Linked DNA regions of Mus musculus: all the other regions are reported to be linked to region 3. Evidence: microRNA targets listed by miRTarBase, many of them from high-throughput screens and not tested one by one. Region 3 holds a microRNA gene; each other region holds the end of a gene's coding sequence.
The links. The annotated mature microRNA mmu-miR-19b-3p reads UGUGCAAAUCCAUGCAAAACUGA and lies in region 3 at 2,191-2,213, shown strand. An mRNA with a match to its seed (bases 2 to 7 or 8) in the 3' UTR can be bound and repressed. Matches are read on the target gene's strand: a 7mer-m8 pairs with bases 2 to 8, a 7mer-A1 pairs with bases 2 to 7 and ends in A, and an 8mer does both.

Region 1: miRTarBase lists Atp6v1b2 as a target of mmu-miR-19b-3p. Seed matches in the 3' UTR shown: 7mer-m8 at 635-641 and 7mer-A1 at 1,180-1,186.
Region 2: miRTarBase lists Slc35b4 as a target of mmu-miR-19b-3p. Seed matches in the 3' UTR shown: 7mer-A1 at 1,820-1,826 and 7mer-A1 at 287-293.
Region 4: miRTarBase lists Map3k12 as a target of mmu-miR-19b-3p. Seed matches in the 3' UTR shown: 7mer-m8 at 2,267-2,273.

What each region holds. Positions count from the first base shown.
Region 1 is chr8:69,111,999-69,115,009 of GRCm38, forward strand. It overlaps Atp6v1b2 (ATPase, H+ transporting, lysosomal V1 subunit B2), which reads left to right. Exons shown (of 14, transcript NM_007509.3): 14 at 432-1,720. The coding sequence ends at 571. Among named protein-coding and RNA genes, the nearest start is that of Slc18a1, 24 kb to the left of the region's middle.
Region 2 is chr6:34,155,861-34,158,874 of GRCm38, forward strand. Slc35b4 (solute carrier family 35, member B4) reads right to left here. Exons shown (of 10, transcript NM_021435.3): 10 at 19-2,766. The coding sequence ends at 2,520. Among named protein-coding and RNA genes, the nearest start is that of Gm13855, 20 kb to the right of the region's middle.
Region 3 is chrX:52,741,190-52,744,203 of GRCm38, reverse strand. Mir19b-2 (microRNA 19b-2) reads left to right here and starts at 2,138; the gene lies at 2,138-2,221. It overlaps Mir363 (microRNA 363), which reads left to right and starts at 2,437; the gene lies at 2,437-2,511. It overlaps Mir92-2 (microRNA 92-2), which reads left to right and starts at 2,276; the gene lies at 2,276-2,366. It overlaps Mir20b (microRNA 20b), which reads left to right and starts at 2,012; the gene lies at 2,012-2,091. It also overlaps Mir18b, Mir106a and Kis2.
Region 4 is chr15:102,497,436-102,500,448 of GRCm38, forward strand. Map3k12 (mitogen-activated protein kinase kinase kinase 12) reads right to left here. Exons shown (of 16, transcript NM_001163643.1): 16 at 212-2,741. The coding sequence ends at 2,646. Pcbp2 (poly(rC) binding protein 2) reads left to right here. Exons shown (of 15, transcript NM_001103165.1): 15 at 1,054-2,624. The coding sequence ends at 1,090. Among named protein-coding and RNA genes, the nearest start is that of Map3k12, 18 kb to the right of the region's middle.

The DNA of each region.
Region 1 (3,011 bases), not on the chromosome of region 3:
TAGCCTGGGCCACTCAATAAAACCCTGTCTTAAATTTAAGTTTTGAAACCATTGGCCTGTAATATAGTCTGCTTTTTGGCATTTAAGGCTTCCTCAGAATCTCCATGGATTCTTGCAAGCCTAGCTTTTTTCCTGAGTCCTACAGTTTACTTTGTGCCGACCTTTGAACAGAATGCTGGTCTAGTTTGCATTGTTTAAGGACCTTATCTGTCTCTGTCCATCTCATCCCTCATGTCCACCAGCACTGCCCCGTGGGCCTCTCTTCACCCCTGATCTCTGTGTTACTTTGTACCCTCATTTCTGCATCTCAAATCCTCACCCCTGTTTTCCTTCCTGTATTTTATGCCTACCCTGCTTGCTAGACCACAGAGTGCTGAGTGACACGGGTCAGTTGGCAGTGCCCTGTGGTTAATTCAGTATTAATATTCTAGGTCCCTATGAAAACCGAACTGTTTATGAGACTTTGGACATTGGCTGGCAGTTGCTTCGAATCTTCCCCAAAGAAATGCTGAAGAGAATCCCTCAGAGCACCCTGAGCGAATTTTACCCTCGAGACTCTGCAAAACACTAGTAGCTGCTGCTGCTTGTGTGGCGTGACCCTCTTGTGAAGTACTGGTTCTGTTTCCTGATTCCTTTTGCACTCCTCCATCCCACCTGTGAGTGGGAGTTTACCTGTTACCCTGTAATTAAAAACAAAGGCTAGGTAACTATTGTGCCAGTGTTGACAGTTTAAACTGCTAACAGATTGAGAGATCCCTGCTCAGAAACCTCACCTTTAGTGCTTTCTTTAAAGAAGCTGAGGGGTGAAGTTTGCTTACTGATGTATCTATTTGTACAGATAGTGGAGAGCTAGTTGCTAATAATGTCTTGTTTGGGTCTCCCAAACCCTACCTCTCAACTCCCTTAAGAGTATCACTGTTCTGAAGCTAAAATGCTTCAGTCTCAAATTTAGGGGCAAAGTGGAGACTGGAAGAATTCTCCTTTCAGAAGAACCACGAGGCTCTGGCTGAGCCTCCCTCTGGAGTGCTAGTGTACCTGTGGGTCTGTCCTCTGCTCTGTGCAGATGGGTTTTACTGTCTGCTGTGTTTTCTTACGAAAAGAGTTTCGTTCTGCCAGTGCTGTGAGTTGGGAATTCCTGCGTGGCGACTTTCTCTGAGGCCCACAGAGAATCAGGTAACATTGCACAGCCTGCGTTCTCCTGCAGTGGTGGCACGCCTTGTGCTGACGACCCCCACTGGGCTACAGTCACAGGAGAATTGAGACTTGGAAAAGGCTTGGGTACAATTAAGAAAAACCCTACATCCCACCCTCCTCTTGACGCGTTTCTGGTGGTTTCGGTTTCTGCGTTGCCCTCCAGATCCTGAGGTGGGCCGTGAGACGACTTGCTTTAAACTCTGTTCAATCCCCAGGCTTTCTGAGTCCGCTCTACCTTTTCTGGGTGATCTTGTGGCACATGTAGCAATGTTTCTTTCATTCCTGTCCCTTCCTGGCTTGAGCTCTTGGCTGTATTCTGTGTGCCTCTACCATGTCTGCTGTTTGGGTCTCTGCGCTGTGTGTTCTCAGGTGCAGCCATGACTCCCCACTCTGTGCATTCCACCTTCCAGTTGTTTTTCTCTGAGGGGGTAGTGGGGGGGTCAGCATGATTATATTTTAATGTAGAAAATGTGACATCTCGTTATAAATGAAAATAAATGTTAAATTAAATGGAAGTTACCTGAAATGACTCTGTGTTTTCTCTCGAGAGGAACGGCAGCAAGCAGGTGGGTAACTCGAGTCTTCACAGTTGTGATCTTCATGAGTGTGGCCTGTGTTAGTGTGTAAGAAATGTGAGTATGCTTCATATTCCTGAAGGCTTGAAGAAGGAAGGCATCTATGTGTCAAACTGTAGTGTCTGGTCCACTGCAGCACTCAGGCTGCAGTTATTAACAACCTTTATCAAGACAGATAAAGGGGCTGGAGGGGTGGCACAGCGGTTAAGAGCACTTGGCTATTTTTCCTAAACAGTTTTCTAAGTTCAGTTCCCAGCAACCACACGGTGGCTCACATCCATCTGTAATGGATTCAATTCCCTCGTGTGTGTGTGTGTGTGTGTGTGTGTGTGTGTGTGTGTGTGTGTGTGTGTGTGTGTGTGTGTGTGTGTGTGTTGAATAAATCTTTTTTAAAAAACAGATCAATCCTTCTGCAGCATTTAGGACTGCATTAAGTAGCACTCCTGCTAGTTTGTTAGTTTTTTAGTAAAGACTCTTTGTAAGGGACTCTTCAAACAGCTGACTTCTACTCAGCGGGTTGTTTGTATGAGTGAGACCATCTGTAGATGAACGTCATGTCTCGCCAGCGTGCTGCTTTCCTGTGAGCGTGAGTAGGCTGAAGTGTTGTCCTCAGGGTGGGCTGCTCTTGACATCTTCCTTGGCTTGTTGGAGGGCAGGTGAGCTCAATTCAGTGCACAAGGATCCAGTAAGATGTCGTCAAGAACAGGGTAGTGGGTGGCTCTGGCAGATCATGCCTGAAGTCCAGGCAGACAGAAGAATCAGGAATCCAAGGTCATATTCAAATGCTTGAGTTCAAGACTAATGTATTAGACTATACTGTGTTTAAAAAAGAAAAAATACAGCGGGCGTGGTGGTCACACCTTTAATCCCAGCACTTGGGAGGCAGAGGCAGGTGGATTTCTAAGTTTGAGGACAGCCAGAGAAACCCTGTCTCGAAAAAAAACAAACAAACAAACAAAAAGCCACACAAGCACTTCTTAAGGGATTTTTTTTTTAATGCAGAAGAGCATTAAGTGTAAGGAAATGGTTTTACTTGCTGGTGTTTTTCATTTATTTAAAATAAAAATGACATTCCATACCATAACCTATGTGATTTTATACCAAACCGTTTTTCCAGTTCAGGGTTGAACACCTTCCTCATGCTCGAGGAGCCAGTGTTGCCCTCTGCCATGGCAGCGAGGACCCTCATGACTCGTGTGGGAACAATGAGAACGAGGAGCCAGTGTTGCCCCTCTGCCATGG
Region 2 (3,014 bases), not on the chromosome of region 3:
AACAAACAAACAAATGGCAAAGAGAAATGACTTTTATAAAGAGTGATTTTATGGATGTATCCAGAGATGGTCCTATTAAGGGGTTAGCTGGTGTAGGGAGGACAAACAGCATATGTGTGCTCTTATTTGTAGCTCCTGAGCTTTGTAGAGAGACATGAAACCACGGTGTGTATGCGATCTGAAGGTAGAAGGCAAAACTGTTCAGGGGAACAGCAGGACCTAACACGGGGAGAGGAGAGCTTGGGGGAAGTACTCAACTGCAGGGAAGTGTCCAACCACAGGGCCCTGTGCAACAAGCATACACAATGAGAAGGAAAACAGAACCTTTAGAAGGGCAATTTTACAAAACTGTAACTAGTGCCGGTTACATTTTCTTCTGTCTACTGCACGGCAGGAAGCAGCTGGGGCACTTGCTAGCTTGAGCCAGCAGAGCCCGCACTCTTATCTGTTCTTACATCTCCTTCAACAAAACCCACAAAGGGATACACATTCTGAAACCCTAACCGGTCCAGTTAGATTGTATCAGCCAGTCTCAGGGAACTACAAGCTGTGTGCTACTTCTCCCAACATAAAAAGGGAAGCTCTAGGTAACTGAAGGTTATAGCCTGTTAGGAGTAATCAGAATGGAGCCTCAAGAGCCCCGAGGGACAGATTCTTCTGTTAAACTGGAAGAAAAAAGTACTTTTTATTACTGTCTTTTTAAGGGGGCTTTTAACACTTGGTATTTATAGCAACATTGGTCCAGGCAACCCCACATATTTCAAAGTAGCTACAGAGCTTCTGGGACTGTGAATGGGTTCACATCTAATTCAGGTCTTTGAGAACAGACCATTACCAGCACTGGGAAGCTGTCAATGGCCAGAATGACAATCAGTCTGCAAACCTGGGGACTTAGGTGGAGAAACAGTATCTGCATTTAATGTAACAGAAAAAAGTCTTAACTGCCTTCCCAGGGGACCCAGAGGATTAGGACAGTTCTCTTTGCCTTCCCAGGGGACCCAGAGGATTGGGATAGTTCTCTTTGCTGCTGCTGTTCAGACCCATCAAAGAGCATCTTCAGAGGGTGCAACAAAGAGCTACAGTGAGCCGAGGAGATGGAGAGCCACTCCTCAGTCTGAGCACAGTCAGCACATAGTGGAAGAATGGAAGGCTGTCGTCTGTGCGAGAGAAACATTGTGTGTAGCTGTTTGCAGAGGAGCAGATGGCTAGGTGAGGGTAATGAGGGTCTGGCCCTAAGTGGGGACGAGGAAAGAAAGCAACACAATGTTCTTGTTCTTCAATCACATACAATCCAGCTAAGGGCACACAAGCGCCACATGCTGTGTGACAGGGTTACTCTTCCTCAAGGGGATCCAAGAGAGGACAATCAGACCTTCAGAGTGATCAGCGGAAAAGAGCCAGGCCTGTTTCTGTATGTAAACATGCTGTGTCATGCCACCTCCCAGGCACACCCAAAAGCAGTCCCATATCTATGGAACAAGAAGACTTCACCCTGCCGCAGCTGGGGTTTGAGCACACTCACGCCTGTGTATCAATCAATCATCATCGATGACTTGACAGGTGACAATTCTCAGAAGTATCTTCTGGCTACCAGGTCTTAACGCCTCTCACAGACACATATTTGAAACCCACAGGAGTCCCATGGAAGTGTGTGGCTGGGTTCACAGGGGCAACAGTCTCTCAGGGTGCTGAAAGAGTGAGCTGTATTGGGCCACACTTCCTTCTCCATCTCCGTAAACAGGCCAAGGGGCTTCACGTGGGAGATGGAAGGAAAGGTCTCCCTCTTCTCGATCCACTTTCAAGTTTTCTTCCTTTCTAATGTGCAATGAGCGCTGCAGGACTGCTCTAACTACAGAAAGCAACAGGTGAAAGAAGTGTGTGATCTTTGCATTGACTAATCAAATAACGTGAAATGTGCGTGGTGGGATCCAGCCGTCTACTCCAGCATCACCGGCATCCAGCTCACAGATCTGCTCATGGGGACAACTGCTTCTCTCCCAACACCAACACGCTGGAGGGAGTCCGGCCTCATCACTCCTGGGGTCTAATTTTTCGCATGTCCACTGGATCACTCAGTGCCTGATTGTGCCTGGAATGTTGGCTGTGCTGCAAAGTGCTTAAGTGTGCAGGGGTGACGGGAGGAAAGAGGTACATAGCAAAAAGGCATCGGTAGCAACAAGTGCGACACAGGTAGAAAACTAGAAGCTCTGAGACTTGGAATTCAACAAATATGGTTCTGATGTTCTGGCAAAGAAATAGAAAAGCAAATGCAGAGGCTGCCCGACGGTCTGCCTGGTAGCCTTGCTTGTTTTGTTTATTCTATCTCAGGGATGCCTATGTGGAATCTACAAATGCAGACTCGTGAGAGCAGATGAGTCCCATCCTTTTGGAGGAAGCTCTGGAGCCTTTCTGCTTCAATACTCTGGTAATTTGGCATCAGCTAAAGTGAAATGGTGGCCAGACCTGCAGCAGAGGCCGCTCTCACATAACACCGTCTGTCTGTCTGTCCCAGGCAGACCTCAGTCCTTCTTGTCATCCTTTTGCAGCTCACTTTTTGTGGTCCCGAGGTTTTTCCACACCTCTGTGTACATTAAGGTTCCAATGAAGACAAACGAGGTGCCCAGCCAGTGCCACATAGTGAACTGGTTCTGGAAGTACAAGATAGAAAAGATGAGGCTCACAAACTTGCGCAGAGTCACAACCAGTGTGACGGTGAGGGAGGTACACTCTGTTGTAAGGATGAACACACCCCGGATGCACACATATCTGGAGGAGTGGTTAAGGCTGTTCTCTGTAAACTAGGGTTTAGGTTCAAGTCCTGGCTTCAACTTGACATGCTGAGAAAACAGGAAGAATGCTGTGTGGACTCTCCTTAGCAGGACTTGCCGAAGGACTCTGGCCCTGCCATTCCTAAGCCCATTACTACGGATTGTCCTTACAGTTTATAATGAAGGTCATCTTGAACTGAATGCCGGAGTGCCACTCTCGGGAAGGGGATCCTACTCAACTTATTC
Region 3 (3,014 bases):
AAAAGCAAAGTACCTGAGTGTAGTTGAGGGGTGCCAGGCAACTCGTGAGAAAAGGACTCTCCCTTGTTGCTCTGAAGGTTTCTGGAGAACTTGTGGGTGGTCAAATGCCAGGGTGCACGTGGGGTGTGGGGCGGGAGGACTCCCGACCTACCTTGGTTTCCCTCCCACCAACCCGAGAATGGAGGGAGAGGCTTAAGCTTGGCGCGTTTTGGGGGCTTTGAATGGAGAACTCCGTTTCCCATAATGCTTTGTTTCTTTCTGTTTAATTTTGGTGGCCGCTAAGGTGTCTTGAAGACCTAAGCGCGTGGCATGACTGGCTGGAGCACACCCTGCGTTCCCAGGAGGTTCACAGATCTCTACTGGAGCCGCTGCTGAAGATGCGGGAATAGACCAGAGAAAATCCCGAAATGGTAAAAGACTGGGTCCTCTTTGCAATTTTAGAAGTTGTACAGCGACTTTCTAGTATATATGATGGAGAGCAGATGTGTTAAAGAAAGGTATTAGCTAGAAGGAGCTTTCTCTGGAGGGCTGAGGTATGGTTTTGCGAAGTTGAGTCAGGTTTTGTAATATATTTTTAGTGGAGGCAAAAATCTCTAGTTGTAGGAACCCAGTTCAAGAAGAAAAGTATAATAAGCCAATACTTGCACTATAGGAAGCAGATTTCATATTTACTTCAAAAGTTTTGCTAATTTATATTTAAAATGTTTTAAGAACTATCTTAGTCACTAAGTGGCTTCGAAAAGTTCCAACATTTAAAATATCCTTTCTCATTGAACACATTTCAAGTTTTGTGTCCCTGAAGTTTATTGGTGTCCCCCCATCAACACAAACATTCCATCATGGGAGGGAGGGAGCTCGTGACCCCTCAGACTGTCCTCTGCAGCATTTTCCTGGGTAAGATACACACTTGGAAATGAGAGAGGTTTTTCCTGTGGAAGATAATGACATGAAGCCAAAGAGCTAATCTGACTTCTTTAGGTTTAATGGAGAAAATGGGTCCATAAATGTTTAAACAGAAGTAGAGCCCTTTGAAATAGATGAAAATGTGACATCTCTAGGCCATCTGTGCGGTATGTGAAGAGTGTAAAACTGTTTCTTAAAGCGGCTCTGAAATTTCTATCATTTTCTCTTAATGGGCTGGGGGCAGGGATGCTTCATGTAATCAAACATAGAGACCTTCCGAGTGGCTCCCCAAAGCTCTGGATGAGCTCAAGACGTCAGTACTCACCCTAATGTTATTTATTTATTTTTTTGCTTACATCTTTTCCTGGGCTCTTGCCTCTTAGAAAACCATGGTGGATATTACAGCTCTGCAAATTTTCTGGGATGCGAATCTCAAATTTCCTTAGACGGAGAGGGAGTCCAAAATCCTCTTACTCTTAAGAGTCAGACATTCTGAGATTGCCAGTGTTATTCATGTTTAAGTCTGTGTAAATAATTGAGCTTATTAATGTTTGAAGTAACACAACCCCATTTGCACTCTTAACGGAAGGCAAACTTGTTTTAGAAATAGTAACTCACAGTTCACTTACTTGCTGTGTGTGTGTGTGTGTGTTTATCCAGGTGAGTCTGCAGATCTGGCAAAGAAGAGTTCGTGGAAGACTTCAAGGTTACACTCCTGGAGTATGCCTTGGCCATGTCAAAGTGCTAACAGTGCAGGTAGCTTTTTGAGTTCTACTGCAGTGCCAGCACTTCTTACATTACCATGGTGATTTAATCAGAGGCCGCTGAGTCCCCTGGTTTCTGCATAGTTAGATTGTGGATGTTTTTGAGCTGCTCCTTGTAATGTGTCTCTTGTGTTAAGGTGCATCTAGTGCTGTTAGTGAAGCAGCTTACAATCTACTGCCCTAAATGCCCCTTCTCGCACAGGCTACTTCTTACCTTGCATTTGAAAAGCATATCTTGAGAAATGATTTGAACGGCACAAGTTTCAAAGGCTCTTTCAGTGTTTCGCCGAGAAACAGATGGCGGAGACTGTAGTATACAGTTGTGTAGAAGAACAAGCTCGGATCCTAGTAGTGCCAAAGTGCTCATAGTGCAGGTAGTTTTTATACCACTCTACTGCAGTGTGAGCACTTCTAGTACTCCTGGATCAACCAAGGTCTTGTTGAAGCAACTACAGCGCAAGGACATTGCTACTTACGATTAGTTTTGCAGATTTGCAGTTCAGCGTATATGTGAATATATGGCTGTGCAAATCCATGCAAAACTGATTGTGGGAATGTGTACCTTTCTGCATCGTAATGGACACCTTTATGCACATCTTCAGCATCCATGCCCATTCATCCACAGGTGGGGATTGGTGGCATTACTTGTGTTAGATATAAAGTATTGCACTTGTCCCGGCCTGAGGAAGAAAGAGGGTTTTTAATCGTCTTTTAGTTTCTGAGTATTGTAAGTTATGTTAGACTGTAATTATGAAATGAACTGTTTTGCTGTTATCAGGTGGAACACGATGCAATTTTGGTTGGTGTAATAGGAGGAAAATTGCACGGTATCCATCTGTAAACCGCAGGACCTATGTGGACAGCCGTCTATCAGTGCTATAGTAAGATTGTAAAATCCTTTAGCTAGTCATTGCTTTGAACACATTTGGAGTGGATTTTTTTTTTTTTTTTTTGGTTTTTCAAGACAGAGTTTCTCTGTATAGCCCTGGCTGTCCTGGAACTCACTCAGGGTGGCCTCGAACTCAGAAATCTGCCTGCCTCTGCCTCCCAAGTGCTGGGATCAAAGGCGTGCGCCACCACGCCCAGCTTGGAGTCTAATTTTTTAAAACTACATATTTTTAAATATATTTGAAATCCTGACATTTTGATTGCACTGAATGTAAACAAACCTGAAATTTGCAAAATAAAGCTGATATATAAGTCTGAAAAAAAATGGGTTTCTTTTTTCTTTTTTAAAAGATTCTATTTATTTATTTATTTATTTATTTATTATATGACAAGTACACTGTAGCTGTCTCCATAGACACCAGAAGGTGGCATCAGACCCCATTCCAGATGGTTGTGAGC
Region 4 (3,013 bases), not on the chromosome of region 3:
TCCAGGTGGACATTGCCACTTCTGGCATTTTTATATTGTGGGCAGGTCCTCATTGCTTGAACATCTCTTCCTTCCTTTTGAAAAAACTAAAGATTCCCCTCTATGCTGCATTTTACCTATGAGAGGCTTCACTCTGCATAGTTTGAGATCTCACATGTATATTTAAAGTTTAGGCACATTACGGTAGTAACATAGACAGGACAAATAATTTCTGACGTTAAAGAAAACATATTTTAATTGAAGAATGACTTCTAGTTTCCGGGATATACCCCTTCCCCTGTGGTATTTGTACATTTAGTGCACATGGTATTAAGCCAAACATCACAAATGGATGTCAGTTGGCTCTTTGTGAAGTTAAGCTTGTGGTGTGGACCTGAGACACCTCTAGTTGTGTTCAGAATGAGGCATTTTGCTGCTACCCAGTGATAATGAAATGTACACTGAATGCCTTTCTCTCAAAGCTTAATTGTATTCCAGGACCTCAAATGACCTATTTGAAACAAGTAGAAAGGCACTGTAGCCAGGTATGTTTACAAGGAGAATTTGGTACCAGTAAGGCCACAGGTTTTGGATTTTGAAGAGTGAGCTAAGGAACTGAATTGAAGCTTTGATACTTGTTTTTTTGTTGGTATTTGTCCTAAAATTATAAGCTTGAAAACAATAATTCAATTTTTCACTATAGTTCCTATTCTTGCTCCTCCCTTTAAGTATTGTTAAAATTACATAATATCTTTAAATGTTAGGCTCCCAACACAAAGTTCCTTCACATTGGTGGGCTGTTCTAGTGTAAACACGACAGGATCAACTCCTTGAAGCCTAATGTTCTCTAGAAATGCTTTCAGTTTGCAAAGAGTAAAACGTGAAGAGACAGTGTCACCAACTTAACATCATTTGTTATGTTCTTCTGAGAACACCTCAGGAACCTTGGTTGTAGTGGTGTTACATAAACAACCTTGTGCACTATGGTACTAGCTAATCTAAGAAACCTTGAAATACCTTGGTGTGATGAATTGTAGCTAGGTAAGCTGACTTATTCTTCTTTGTGTTTTACAGGCTTTCCTCGGAGACAGGTGGCATGGGGAGCAGCTAGAACAGAGCAGACCCATCCATAATCCTGCTGTTCACCACCCATGATCCATCTGTGTAGTTTCTGAACAGTCAGCGACTCCAGGTTTTAAAATAGTTTGTAAATTTTCAGTTTCTACACACTTTATCATCCACTCATGATTTTTTAATTAAAGTGTTTTAATTCCTTTCTCTGTTCAGCAGTTACGCTGAGATATCCATATTTAGTTTTATAAGCTTCTCCCCCTTTTGTTTTTTGGTTTTTGTTTTTGTTTGGCTCATGAATTTTTGTTTGTCATGGAAATGTAAGAGTGGATTATTAATACATTTCAGTTTAGTTCTGTAATGTCAGGAATTTTTCAAAAAAAAAAATTAAAAGATGGACTGGAGCTTTTTCTTTGTGAATAGAAACTGGATGCCACAGTGACTTACGTGGGTGTTGTTCCTGTCTGATGTTATTTTTATACCTTTTAACTTCCAGAGAGCCCTGATTCAGTTTCAATAGAATTAATGGACTTTCTTCCCTTTTTTACCACTCCAATTTTTTTAATTTGCCCTCAATCACCTCCCCCTCCATGATACTGGGTAGCCTCTGAAAACTTGTTTACGGAGATTGACAATTACACTTACCCTAGGATTGTAGAGCAGCTGGTGCATTTATGGAGCTGGGCAGGAACTCGTGGATAGTAAGGATAGTAAACTTGGGAATGGCTGCCCCTTGTTCTACCTTGCATACTTTAAAGTTCTAGTAATTGTTCATTTAGTTTTCTCCATAGGTGTTTTGAGACCTCCTTGTTCTGAAATCATTTAGAAAAGTTTACCTGCTATCATTTATGTTAACTTAGAAAATAACTTGTCCAAATTCCTCAGATAAAATCTTAAATCCAAGTTGAAACCATGTATTATACCACTCTACTCATTCACCAAGAAAACCCTCGACAGTTGGGCCTGCATGGAGTGGTTATATTTCAAGGTTGTTCACAGGGGTTACAATATGACAGTCCCCACCCCTACCAGGCACCAAGATAACAGTGGGGACTAACAGCACCCCAGTTCTTCAGCCTGAGCCATCACATGCTGTTAGTCGTCTGGCCCAAAGCCAGGGTTTGGGCAGAGAAACAGGAACAAAGAAATGAGTTACATTGCCACCTGAGAAACCTCAGAGGGATGACCCAGCCTTAGTTTCTTTCCCTCCTCCCAAGTGCAAAATGTGTAAACAGTAAACGGAAAATAAAAGTGCAGTTTTAAGTGAATCCTCTACCTGCCCCTCCAGTGTTCAGGGATAGACAGTATAGAGACAAGCCTGGCTTTTCTATTGCCTACTTGCTTGTTCAACATAAGGAATGGGGTGAAGCAAGAAGGGGCCAGCTTCCTTTCTTTATAGCTCTAGGGTAGTACTCGGAGTCATTCATTTCCACAGCTGCCAGTGTCCCCAGAACTTATTCGGTAATTGGTCAGGGGCGTCGTTCACTCTCAAGCCTGGCTTAAGGCTAAGAAAGCCCCATCTATCTGTTGATTATGTGGCGCATATATATTATTTATATAAATATTTCTCTATGTACAAGGAATAAGAGTGTCTTTCATGGAGGAAGGGAGGCTGGGGGCCGCAAGGCATCAATGCTGTTGGAGTTGTCCAATTCAGTGCTGTCACAGTCTGAGTCTTCAGGATTGGGGCCCTGTGAAGAGTAGAAATGCAGTGAGGTGGGGGAGCCTTGGGGACCCTTCTTTTACATTAACAGTGGAGTTTTTTTTTTTTTTTTAAATCTGTTCATAGGTCCAAGGCACTATGCTAGATTCCTTTTAGGATACCTTGATGACTACTGTCATCAAAGCTGCCACACAAATTAAACATCAGGCACTATATGCTCGGAACCATTAATTCTCAACTACTACTTACATGGATATTTGTTTTAATGGTTATGGAATAATGATTTTTAGATTCTCAAAT